Arabidopsis thaliana: one gene and its partner. The protein of the gene in region 1 interacts with the protein of each later gene in a pairwise test. Each region holds a gene or a part of one and is shown in the gene's direction. Other genes may lie near its edges. The genes, in order: AT4G27585 and NHX1.

Region 1 (5,984 bases):
ACGTACCATCAATCCGTTGCGAGATGCAAACCTTATCAACTATATAGAAACTTTGGTATTTATGTATATATTAAGAGATCCAATGAAAGTTACGTACGTGATTTCTTGGAGCTTTATTAGAAACTTAGTAGAGTCATATATAGACGTGATTCAAAAGGAAAGGGATCTAGTGAAGACCTTCTTCACGGCTTTCCATGTGAATGAAGAGGTTCTAATAAGTGACATAGGAGGTCTTATACTGAATCTCGGAGGCGTTGTAGAATACGTATAAAACGCCGATGATTTATCGGTATCAAATGAAGTTTTAATAATAGTGTCTTCTTTTACGACAATGCAATCATCAACGCTCTCTGGATTATTATTCTCCTCTTCCTCTACATTCCAAAACCGAGCTTCTTTTCGCTTCTTTTTCACCATCGCTAACACATCGAGTTTGTTACAAATCCCCCACACCGTCACCTTCTGATTGTAGTAGTCTACTTTCACTGAATATATTCCTGATTATTCGTTATAAAGAAAATATAATAAGCTTATTAATTATTTATGCATAGTCGTCTATGATATCATAACCATTAAAACTATTGATTACGTACCTTTGAGATGAGAAAGAGCCCTCTTGACTTTCTTCTCGCAACCGTAAGAATACAAAGGCACCATCATTTCTACGTACTGTGCTTCCACCTTGTTGTACACCGGCACGATTTGAAGATCACCCATTATACTTTAACTATGTATTTTGGTCGAATTCCAATTTCTAACTCAAACTATGCACACTTACCTTTATATATAGTAGAGATACACGAACTTAGGTGTGTGCATATATATATTGACGACAGTGATTGGGTTTCATGCAGAAGAGATGAGGTGCATGTTGTTGAAGTCGTCATGTTATAAGCTTTTTAGGATCTAGTGACTTGGATTTAGTGTAAAGTGTGTCACCACTATTCTCTTTGTTAGATATAGTTCACAAAATATAACCTTCTTTAGACTTTGGATCCCATGTTACATGTTCATCTTTTACTTTATCCCACCAAAAGAAAACTTGGATTGAATCTTTTGAAATCTAAGCAAAAGATAGAAATTATTTTCTTAGAAAAGATTAGACAAAAGAAAGAGAAGACACTTTTGAAAGGTGAAATGCGCTTCGTCATTACGAAGCTTTTAATTGTTGCCATTTTATTTCTTGACGTCGGTATATCTAAAAGGGAACGGCGCCGGATCTTTGATGACTCACACACAGTTCTTCACCATGTGAAACCCATTAGACTTGTTTTTTCCATGCATTCTGAATTTTAAACCGCTTTTTTCCATTATAGTAAAGTTTAACACCCCTTCATGGCTTTTGTAATGTCTAAATTTTTCAATATCCAAAACGTCGTATAATAATGAATTAATGACTATCTACAACTATCAAAATTTCATGATATAAGTTTATTTTCTTGAAATAAAATATGTATTTTATTCCTTACAATATAAATATTCATTATAATTCACTCACATCATTACATGATTTTTAGAAACTAAAAGAAACCATTACCCAAATTTTTTATATTGGCTCCGATTGGTGACCAAAGAAATGAACAATAGGAATTTTGGGGAGGAACAATTTTGTTCTATCATTCTTTTTTTTTGAGGAATGATGAGGAAAAATGTAGGATCCACCTGTCTGAAAATGGATCAAAAATTCCTTGCAAATGGTAAAAAATACCGAGGAACAAAAAGGAACACGACTTTCCTATTCATTGTTTTCCTCAAAAGTGGTTACCAATCGGAGCCATTATTTTCTTGCAATTTCTCGATTCACAATGAATTTTGGATTCAACTAAAAAAAACTCTTTAAAATAACAACCAAAACAATGAATAATAAATTAATAACAGATGGATATTTCAGGCGTCTGAATGGGCTAGAGATAAGCCCAATAATAACAGCAGGTACCAAACTATCCACTAAAGCCCAATAAAATATTTGCCTCCTCTCCACGCATATTGCGTGAAATCTTCGTGATCCGGCGAAGAAACAGTACCTGAATATTGACTACGCATTATAAGAGGTTTTGTTTTGGGGTTTTTCCTTCTTCACATATCATTTTTCTGATTCTCCCACGAAGATGAACCACCTCGTTCGTAAAAGCTCCGTCGGTTACTCCGCCTTGAGGTCCGTTTCGTACCTCCGTCAATCTGCCGTTACCTCTCCACCTCCGATTTTCTCCGCCGCCGCTTCAACCGTTCGCCAGTTCACTTCCGCCGGCTATCCTTCCAACAGGTTTTTCACCTTACGATTTCGTTTTTGAAGCATTTGGTTTTAGATTAGAGTAGAGAACCTTAGGATTGATTTATGGATGTTCGTTGTAGTTTTCAATTGACGATTTGGTTTTAGATTAGAGTAGAGTAGAGAACCTTAGGATTGATTTTTGAATCATTTATGTTTCTCACCTTACGATTTCGTTTTTGAAGCATTTGGTTTTAGATTAGAGTAGAGAACCTTAGGATTGATTTATGGATGTTCGTTGTAGTTTTCAATTGACGCCGCCGACGAATTGGGGAATCCGGATAGTTCCGGAGAGGAAGGCGTTTGTGATTGAGCGATTCGGTAAATACGCTACGACGTTGCCGTCGGGGATTCATTTCCTCATTCCGTTCGTGGATCGTATTGCTTATGTTCATTCTCTCAAGGAAGAAGCTATCCCGATTCCGAATCAGACTGCGATTACTAAAGACAACGTTAGTATCCACATCGATGGTGTTCTCTACGTTAAGGTCATCTTCTTTTCTTTCACCAATCCATTTTCCTCTTGTTTTTTTTTTTTTGTTTTGAGTTCTTACTTTTGTGATTCTTTACTGATTTCTTCTTGTTGATCTGGGAATTTTTTTTTGCAGATTGTGGATCCTAAGTTAGCTTCTTATGGCGTTGAGAGTCCTATCTATGCTGTTGTACAGCTGGCTCAGACCACAATGCGTAGTGAGCTTGGTAAGATCACTCTTGATAAGACCTTTGAGGAACGAGACACTCTCAACGAGAAGATAGTGGTTTGTTCTCCAGCCTTCTTTATCTCTGTTTTGAAGTGTTAGGACTCACCGTACTTAAGCTCCTGTGCATTTCAAAGAATTTAGAATCCGCTAAGTTGATCAATTTCAAAGTCAAGTCACGTTAGCTTGAATATTGCTGTTGGTGTTACTCCCTACTGAGCATTGCGGCTTGAGCTGTTTAGTTGGAAAAATTAGTCACATCTGGCAGTGTGTTTGTATACCACAAGTTGGGTATATGGAATTTAGATTCAGCTGGGGGATTTAGTCATGTTGTATTTGTTGGATATCCGAACTTATTTGCGTCTCTTTTTCAAATCATAAGGAGACATGATGGTTAGAGGAAGTATATCCATTGAAGAAGAAAATATATGATGGATTTTTGAGATGTATATATATTCTTGCAGGAAGCCATCAATGTTGCTGCAAAAGACTGGGGTCTTCAGTGCCTTCGTTATGAGATAAGTAAGTTGTTCGTGTTTTTTCTTTTCCGGTGATAGTTACATATCTGTTTTTTCCTATTTCTAATTCATGTTTTTCCAGGGGATATTATGCCCCCTCATGGAGTGCGAGCTGCTATGGAAATGCAAGCTGAAGCTGAGCGTAAAAAGAGAGCCCAGATTCTTGAGTCTGAAGGTAACCTTGACTGACTTGTCTTTGAGAACTCATCTTCGAGACTGAGCAGTGCTTGCTACGGCTCATAATGTTATTCTTGGCTAAAATCTATCTGTTATTCCTTTTGAGTTTCGTTTTTTGCATTTGGAAAAGAAGAGGCCTGCTTAGCATGTTTCTAATCATTGCTTTACTAAATTTGACAGGAGAAAGGCAATCCCATATCAACATTGCTGATGGTAAGAAAAGTTCTGTAATCTTGGCATCTGAAGCAGCAAAGATGGACCAGGTGAATCGAGCACAAGGTTAGTGAGCCATTAAGATCGAGAACACATCAGAGTTGCATGTTATGTCCATTGTTAGTTAGTTTCACTAGAAGAAAAAGTTAGTTTTCATTTGCTTATTTTTCCACTGTACACTGATGAATGCTTGGTGCATGAGGAACTATTTTCGTTACTGCTAATGCACAATATGGTTGCTATCTCCCACTGGTTTTTTCTTATATTATCCTTGATGATGTTCTACAGGTGAGGCAGAAGCAATACTAGCTAGAGCACAAGCAACTGCGAAAGGCCTGGTCTTGTTATCTCAGTCCCTCAAGGAAACTGGGGGAGTAGAGGTGAGTAATTGAGATCAAGCAGAATATTGGTATTCATAGTTTTGATTTAACTAACTAGCTTTGATTAATTAATTCTTCATAGTATTTACACAAATTGCTAAATGTGTACGTCTTTATTCTCTTTGGATAAAGGGTTCTGTGTCTTCTTGAACTTTCCAACTTTTGGAATTTTAAGTCATATCACTATTATTGCTGTGTTTAGGTTTCTTAACTTTTTCTGTCCAAAATATGATCTCATACGGTGTCACTGTAAAATTTGCAGGCGGCGAGTTTGAGAGTTGCAGAGCAATACATTACAGCCTTCGGTAACATTGCCAAGGAGGTAAAAACAAATCAATTACTGTAATCTCTTCCAGTCTCTTGGCATAGCTCGGGCTTATGTAATGTTCATGTTTTTTGTTTTTTTTTGGGGTTTAGGGTACGATAATGTTGCTTCCAAGTGGTGCTTCAAATCCTGCTAGCATGATTGCTCAAGCTTTAACAATGTACAAAAGCCTTGTCATCAATGGTCCAAGCAAAGATCACCAAGAAACACAAGCACTTGATGAAACAGATTTGGAAGAGTTGGAAGACATGGGTGAGAAACATATATCAGAAGGCTCTAATAACCGATCAGGCTCAATATCATTTGACACAGAGAAACCAGGTCACACCGGTGAACCACGATTTTCTCTTCAGAACCGCAACAAGGATCCGCAGTAGGCAGCCGAACCGGGGATGAGATAAATTCTTTGGGCTTGAGAAAACTGGAAACCATTTTTCATCTTTCAAATATGAGGCAGTAACCATCTTTTCCGTTTGAATAGCTAGAATATCATCACTTTGCATATAGAAACGAATCTGAACATCTGTTCTCCGATAAGAATTTTCCTACTGGATTTGTTATGAACATGGTCCTTGTGTTCTTATTCACCTTTATTCCCATTGCATTGCTTATTACCTGTACCCGTTATTATTCGGTTCGGTTGCAGAGTATTGCAATCTAACCAGGAGGAGCTTGTGAATCCATGAGATGTCAGAATTTGCCAGCAGAAAAGAAGCCATTGCCCCCTAAACAGGATATAGAAGAATGGTGGAGATAAAAGTTGTCCTCCGGATAAATAGGTCCTCACAGAGAATCAAAGGTGTAATGACTTGTGATTCTGAAATTAACCAAAACTTTACCTGAAATAGCTTTAGTCCATACGATTCCTGTATGAATCTGTTCACAGCCCTCTCCTCCATTTGCTCAGCCTCCGGTTATAAAATTAAAGAGTTTTGGCCTCTTCAAAGTCAGCTTTGTCTAGAGGAGTTCTCCTTTTCTTTCTTTCTTTTTTTGCTCCACAGCTCTTCCCATTGTAAGTTTTGTTTTCCAAACTAATCCTTTCAATCCAAAAACCATGGGAGCCTGTGCGAGCAAACCTAAGGAATCTGACATCGTCGAAGGCTCTGTCTCGACCGAAAATGCTGTTGTTGAGTCCAAGAATGCCGCGACCGAGACAGATGCCACATTAACTCAGGTGAGTCCAATATATTCTTTCTAAATAATTTAGTAGATGATCTTAAAGATTCTTGAATTGAATAACATGAAATTTACCAATTAAACAGAATTTACTACAAATTCTTGATTGAACAAACTCATATTAAGTTAAAACTATTGTTGCTGATTGTTGATTAAAGGAGAAGAAGGAAGAGTCCATTGAAGAGACAAAGAAGGAAGGTGAGACAAAAGAGGACTCCTCTGAGGCAA
Region 2 (6,841 bases), on another chromosome or scaffold:
GAATAACAAACAATTTAACAATAACCAAATATTTTGTCATTTCGACATATGTAAGGAACGTGAGTTGGTTTATACTCTATAAGGAAAAGAGTTACCAATGAACAATAATTTCCTAATTAAAAATTAGTAAACGTTAAAAGTATTTTTTTGTCATTCCGACATGGCCTCGTTTTTTTCCTCGAAAATTTAGAAATAATCATATTATTTTTACTTACAAAATACATATATATATATATATATAGATATATATAACTATAGTTAGAACAACTATATTGTCGTGAATAGGTAAATTTGGGAATCGTGATGATATATAATTTGGATCCGTAGATTGTAGGTGATGCATTTTTGTACCTAATCTTTAATTCCAAAATAAGTGGATAGCTCTATATGAAATTTGGCCCTACTTTATTTGACATGACCTTTTAAATATTTGAAAAGCCATGAGACAATTTATTTAATTTTCATAACCGTGATAATAAAAACAATTTGTTTGTAAGAACAATTACATAACAACATTTATCTAAATTATGAGTCTCGTCGGCGGTATGTAAAATATGTTAATATTATCCTTTTTCTATGTAATAGAATAATAGATTATCTTTCTTGGTTGGCACTAAATTGCACGTTAAATACTTGAAAACTTTGTATGTTGAAATAGTAATCCAATTTTAACGAAACTTTTTATTTTGTAAAGATTTTGATGGGCTTTTTAAAACAATTTCTACGACGTGGACAGACTTTGGAGTTTGTATGATTAATTAGATTCAGATCCTCACGTAGATTGAATAAACAATAACTCAATAATTGATCCTTCTCAAATTTTAATAAAATAAAAACATTTTTTAATAATAAAATAACAACATTACAAAATACCAAAATATGTAGGGTAATAGTTTTTGCTAATATAGTTATTATATTATTACTAAAATATAAATTCACATGTTAATATTTGTTGTTGACAAAAACAAAAACAATGATATTACAAAAAAACAAATAGGGTGATTAAACGCTAGAAGATCCGTAACCATTTTGATGACAAAAAGATATGGTACTAAGATGAACACGTTTTTGAGAATATTCAAAACAAATTCATTTCCGAAAGATTATCAATTTTCAAGCATACAGTATGATCTGGTAAACTATAAATGGTAGAACCACGATAATTAACTAGTCGATTCTATATGTTATGACATAGACTTAGCTAGGAGCATATCCGGCAGACCGGCACTAATCTAATGATTTCATGAGTTGTTATTATCTAAACTAATTAACAATTAATAGAATGAAATATAGTTTTATATTTAAGTTTTTTTTTTTTTTTTTTTTTTTTTCGGAATATCAGGAGGTTCTGGGCCGAAACCCGTAATCCCTTCAGGCCTGAAACCACAACATGTAATATTAGTTTCGTCCCAAACATCACTCGAACTAACGACCTCTAAGTTTCGCCTAGGATCTTTACCAATTGAGGTAACAACGCTTGGTCAAGTTTAAATCATTGTTGCTTTCTGTGAGATTTTGATCCCTATAACCTAATTTATCTTATGAGAAATTAACCTTTTTTGATAAAGGATAAGGAAAATAGTAACCTTGTATAAAAAAATTCATTGCCATTTTCATATATATATATATATATATATATATATCCTAAAATGTATATCTCTAATAAAATTAGAAGAAATGATACCAAAAATAAAGGTGAAATCATGATAAAATTTTGTTTTTTTTTGTTTTGGTTCATTGAGTTTGCCATTAACGCTTTTTTTTTATAAATAATTTCGTCTACACAAATTCATCCATATAATATTTTCTTTTACTGCATCAGAGTTTCACTATGTATTTAGGTTTTTTATGAATTTTAAAAAAGTTCAGCATCAAGGTGAAGAAAATTCCAAAAAAATAAATAAAACGGTGACCCAAAAAAAACTTGTTGTCTTCAAAACCAAAAGTACTCGACAAATCAAATAGATAAATCATGAATCTTAGTACAGTCAGGTTTTATCGTCTACGATAAGTTCCACAATAAATCCAAACACTAAACTGTTCAGATCTCAGATAGTAACTTTAAATCAACGGCTATAAATTCGCCATTTGTACTTTCATTTACACAACAGAGAATAATACATACACTCTATCTCTCTCCTATTCGTAACTTATATTTCTCTCTCTACTGTGTTTAGAAATTGGAATCTTCTCTCTTCTCTATCTCCCTCTCTCTTAAAAAGGGACCGTACACGTCTCTCTCTATTTCCAGTAAAAAATCGAAATTTCGTATAATTTCCTCAGTCCCGTAATTTTCTCCTTTTTTTTCTTCCCCAATTCCTTCAATTTTCGAATTCGCCTCTCTGTTTCGTTCCTCGTAGACGAAGAAGAAGAAGAATCTCAGGTTTTAGCTTTCGAAGCTTCCAAAATTTTGAATTTTGATCTTCTGGGCTCTTTTGTAAATCAGACTGAAGATATTTAGATTACCCAGAAGTTGTTCAAGGTAAAGCAATTCAGATCAGATCCACCAATTTTTTTTTTTTTTTTCATTTGAAGTTTTTGTGTTTGTTGTTTGTTGTTGGGAGATATTTGAAATCTGGGTTATTAAAGTTCCGACCTAATTTCATATTGTGCTATTACCAAAAATAGGAAATTTTGAGAATTTGGTTTTATGTTGTCATCATTTAATAATATTAGCCTTTTGTGGGATTTGTGCTTTTTGTTGTTTGTATCAAAAGTCTCAGATTTGGATTCACTTTTTGTGTGTTTTTTATAGTCAAAGCTGATTCATGCTATACATTACACAGCTTCACTGTTTAGTCTCAGCTCTGTTTTCTTGAAAACAGGAATGGTTTCAGTGGACAGCACGGAAAGATAAAAGAGACTTTTTTTTCCAGATTTTGCTGATCCAAAATCTGAATAGTTGTTCATGTTCTTGGATCAAATCTGGAAAGAGGAAGTTTGTTGGATCTAGAAGAAGATAACAATGTTGGATTCTCTAGTGTCGAAACTGCCTTCGTTATCGACATCTGATCACGCTTCTGTGGTTGCGTTGAATCTCTTTGTTGCACTTCTTTGTGCTTGTATTGTTCTTGGTCATCTTTTGGAAGAGAATAGATGGATGAACGAATCCATCACCGCCTTGTTGATTGTAAGTTCACTCAATTGAAAAGAGTAATTACTGAGTTCCAACTTGAATGACATTTGAGCTATTTGGTTGCAGGGGCTAGGCACTGGTGTTACCATTTTGTTGATTAGTAAAGGAAAAAGCTCGCATCTTCTCGTCTTTAGTGAAGATCTTTTCTTCATATATCTTTTGCCACCCATTATATTCAATGCAGGGTCAGTCTTTTTTTTTACATCCATTTGAGCCTTTTCCTCTATGTTGGGATATATCTTTTAATGTAGGACTTAGTTTGGTAGGGTCTCATGCTATATGATACGTTTAGTTGCACGGGTTTTACCTACAAAAGTTACATAAAACAGATTGAAAGAAAAAACTTAGTTTTGAAAAGTATGCATTATGTGATTCTAGGTGATAAAGTTAGTACAACGCTTTAAAGATGTTGATTAGTAAGCTTAAGCTCTACTTCTATAAATACCTGTCATACATCAACTTTTTCTAGTACTTGTGATTGTTATAAAGAAAAGAGGGCATGATGTCTTTTTTTGAAGTAGTTAGATTTATACACGTGCAAGTAAGTGTGGTCCTGGATTTGTCTTTGTCATGGATCTTTCTCAGATTTGTTGTTGTCTATTTCAGGTTTCAAGTAAAAAAGAAGCAGTTTTTCCGCAATTTCGTGACTATTATGCTTTTTGGTGCTGTTGGGACTATTATTTCTTGCACAATCATATCTCTAGGTAGGTTACTTCGCTTTACGATTGGCTGAAACACCGCTGAATGCGGCTTTTTGGATTAGGTCGAGATAGTTTTGTATATCTCTACTGATTTTCTGGTGGTTCTTGAAACAGGTGTAACACAGTTCTTTAAGAAGTTGGACATTGGAACCTTTGACTTGGGTGATTATCTTGGTAAGGCCTGAACTAATGGCTTCTTTTTGGTTCCTATTGCTTTACTTAATCGGGAGACTTGATTTGTTTTTGGTGTTTGAATCTCAGCTATTGGTGCCATATTTGCTGCAACAGATTCAGTATGTACACTGCAGGTAATGTGTTTTCTCCAACATGACTTAAATTACTTACAAACCCTGAAACATAGTGGACCGAAAGTTTCTGTTCCTGTTGTGTTGTGATATAGGTTCTGAATCAAGACGAGACACCTTTGCTTTACAGTCTTGTATTCGGAGAGGGTGTTGTGAATGATGCAACGTCAGTTGTGGTCTTCAACGCGATTCAGAGCTTTGATCTCACTCACCTAAACCACGAAGCTGCTTTTCATCTTCTTGGAAACTTCTTGTATTTGTTTCTCCTAAGTACCTTGCTTGGTGCTGCAGTAAGTCCATTGTTTTCTTCCCTGCCATTCTTTCTTGTAGCTGCTATATGCACGCTCTGGTGTTCACATCTTTGTTATTCATCTTGCAGACCGGTCTGATAAGTGCGTATGTTATCAAGAAGCTATACTTTGGAAGGTACATATTTAACGTCATATATGTGACTTGTTTTCTTTAAGTTGTTTCCTGTTTGGTCTAACGTAGATGGCCTCACATTAATTGTCACAGGCACTCAACTGACCGAGAGGTTGCCCTTATGATGCTTATGGCGTATCTTTCTTATATGCTTGCTGAGGTTAGATTCTTTTAAATAACACGAACATATTCATTCAGTTGCATTCAAACACAAATTATATTGATGTTATATTAATTTGGTTGCAGCTTTTCGACTTGAGCGGTATCCTCACTGTGTTTTTCTGTGGTATTGTGATGTCCCATTACACATGGCACAATGTAACGGAGAGCTCAAGAATAACAACAAAGTATGCAAACTTTAGTTTCTCCGCCTTTTGCTGAGATTAACACTTTCTACCTCCCAATGATTATCTTATGATTTTTTTCGATGAAACAGGCATACCTTTGCAACTTTGTCATTTCTTGCGGAGACATTTATTTTCTTGTATGTTGGAATGGATGCCTTGGACATTGACAAGTGGAGATCCGTGAGTGACACACCGGGAACATCGATCGCAGTGAGCTCAATCCTAATGGGTCTGGTCATGGTTGGAAGAGCAGCGTTCGTCTTTCCGTTATCGTTTCTATCTAACTTAGCCAAGAAGAATCAAAGCGAGAAAATCAACTTTAACATGCAGGTATGTATCATTCTACTTGGTACTAATAGATTCAATAATTCTTCTGGATTTCAGCTATTTATATCTATCATTTTTTCCCATTCTTTAGGTTGTGATTTGGTGGTCTGGTCTCATGAGAGGTGCTGTATCTATGGCTCTTGCATACAACAAGGTATAAAAAGAATGTCTTTAAATACTCTCTATGAAGCTTCAAATGACACAAATCATCATTTAACACTTGTTTCTATTGTAGTTTACAAGGGCCGGGCACACAGATGTACGCGGGAATGCAATCATGATCACGAGTACGATAACTGTCTGTCTTTTTAGCACAGTGGTAAGAAATCTCTGGATGATCAAATGAGTTACATAATATTTCTTAATTGAATTGGACATTTGGTTAATAGATTCTCTTGAACCTTGTTTTCAGGTGTTTGGTATGCTGACCAAACCACTCATAAGCTACCTATTACCGCACCAGAACGCCACCACGAGCATGTTATCTGATGACAACACCCCAAAATCCATACATATCCCTTTGTTGGACCAAGACTCGTTCATTGAGCCTTCAGGGAACCACAATGTGCCTCGGCCTGACAGTATACGTGGCTTCTTGACACGGCCCACTCGAACCGTGCATTACTACTGGAGACAATTTGATGACTCCTTCATGCGACCCGTCTTTGGAGGTCGTGGCTTTGTACCCTTTGTTCCAGGTTCTCCAACTGAGAGAAACCCTCCTGATCTTAGTAAGGCTTGAGGGTAACGTGGAAGAAAAGCTTTGATTTTTTTTGGTAGAAAAGGGTGATTCAAATTATGCTTTTGTGTAAATTATCCATTTGTAATATTGTTTGTGAGGACAGAAATCTGTCCTAACGTTTTGAGAGCAGAAAGCAAAACATGGCAACTTTGAAGTGTTTGATTGATGTATGTAATTATATTCATATTTGTTTTGTTGTAACACAAACTACACATTTGTTTATGTTTTGAATTTGGTTTTTGCTTCGAACTTGAGGATCGGATTGGTACGGTTTGGTTCGATTTCGGACAAAAATATTAATAAAGAATTATTTCTTTATGTCAAAACAAAAATTTAGTGAACCTAATGGCTAATGATATCAAAATTTGGTAGGTCTTGAAACTTATAATCTAACTAGATTTTAACCCGCGGTATACCGCGGGAACAATTTATTTTTTAAAGTTAGTATATATAAAAGTTTACAAATTGTATCTATTTATAAAATAATTTTATTTTATAGTTTACAAATGTTATTAAGTAACATCCTGCCAAACCCGTCCTGTAAAAAAGAAAACCATTTATTTTATTAATGTTGATCTTATTTATGATATGTTTATGAATCATTGTCTAAATATTTTGTAATTTTGTAGTAATTAAATGCTATCAGATTATATCTCTTCGCTTTGATGATTATAATCGAATTGTTATAGTTATGGAGAAAAGCAATATCAAAAATGATAATTTTGTAGTAATTAAATGATATTAAATATTTTAGAAGTATTATTTTAGTAAATAATCGTGTAGTTAATGTGGAGAGATTTTGGGAAGATTGTTAAATGTCAAATATTTAATTCGAAGATTTTCTTTTTAATTATCAAAAA

The links.
Region 2: the proteins of AT4G27585 (region 1) and NHX1 interact in a protein complementation assay, tested with the Arabidopsis thaliana proteins (one large-scale study listed by BioGRID).

Annotation. Positions count from the first base shown.
Region 1 is NC_003075.7:13,765,957-13,771,940, reverse strand, and holds AT4G27585 (SPFH/Band 7/PHB domain-containing membrane-associated protein family), read left to right. Parts: upstream 1-1,979; 5' UTR 1,980-2,108; coding exon 2,109-2,263; intron 2,264-2,513; coding exon 2,514-2,757; intron 2,758-2,877; coding exon 2,878-3,027; intron 3,028-3,431; coding exon 3,432-3,489; intron 3,490-3,567; coding exon 3,568-3,660; intron 3,661-3,842; coding exon 3,843-3,941; intron 3,942-4,163; coding exon 4,164-4,255; intron 4,256-4,517; coding exon 4,518-4,577; intron 4,578-4,672; coding exon 4,673-4,957; 3' UTR 4,958-5,242; downstream 5,243-5,984. Other genes in the region: AT4G27590 (Heavy metal transport/detoxification superfamily protein), read right to left, coding at 178-497, 594-717; AT4G27580 (phosphatidylinositol transfer SFH5-like protein), read left to right, coding at 5,635-5,754, 5,915-5,984.
Region 2 is NC_003076.8:9,551,286-9,558,126, forward strand, and holds NHX1 (Na+/H+ exchanger 1), read left to right. Parts: upstream 1-2,014; 5' UTR 2,015-2,482; intron 2,483-2,825; 5' UTR 2,826-2,965; coding exon 2,966-3,130; intron 3,131-3,202; coding exon 3,203-3,321; intron 3,322-3,742; coding exon 3,743-3,840; intron 3,841-3,951; coding exon 3,952-4,011; intron 4,012-4,098; coding exon 4,099-4,145; intron 4,146-4,237; coding exon 4,238-4,432; intron 4,433-4,521; coding exon 4,522-4,568; intron 4,569-4,658; coding exon 4,659-4,725; intron 4,726-4,811; coding exon 4,812-4,912; intron 4,913-5,001; coding exon 5,002-5,242; intron 5,243-5,330; coding exon 5,331-5,393; intron 5,394-5,474; coding exon 5,475-5,558; intron 5,559-5,651; coding exon 5,652-5,981; 3' UTR 5,982-6,309; downstream 6,310-6,841. UniProt on the Arabidopsis thaliana protein: Acts in low affinity electroneutral exchange of protons for cations such as Na(+) or K(+) across membranes. Can also exchange Li(+) and Cs(+) with a lower affinity.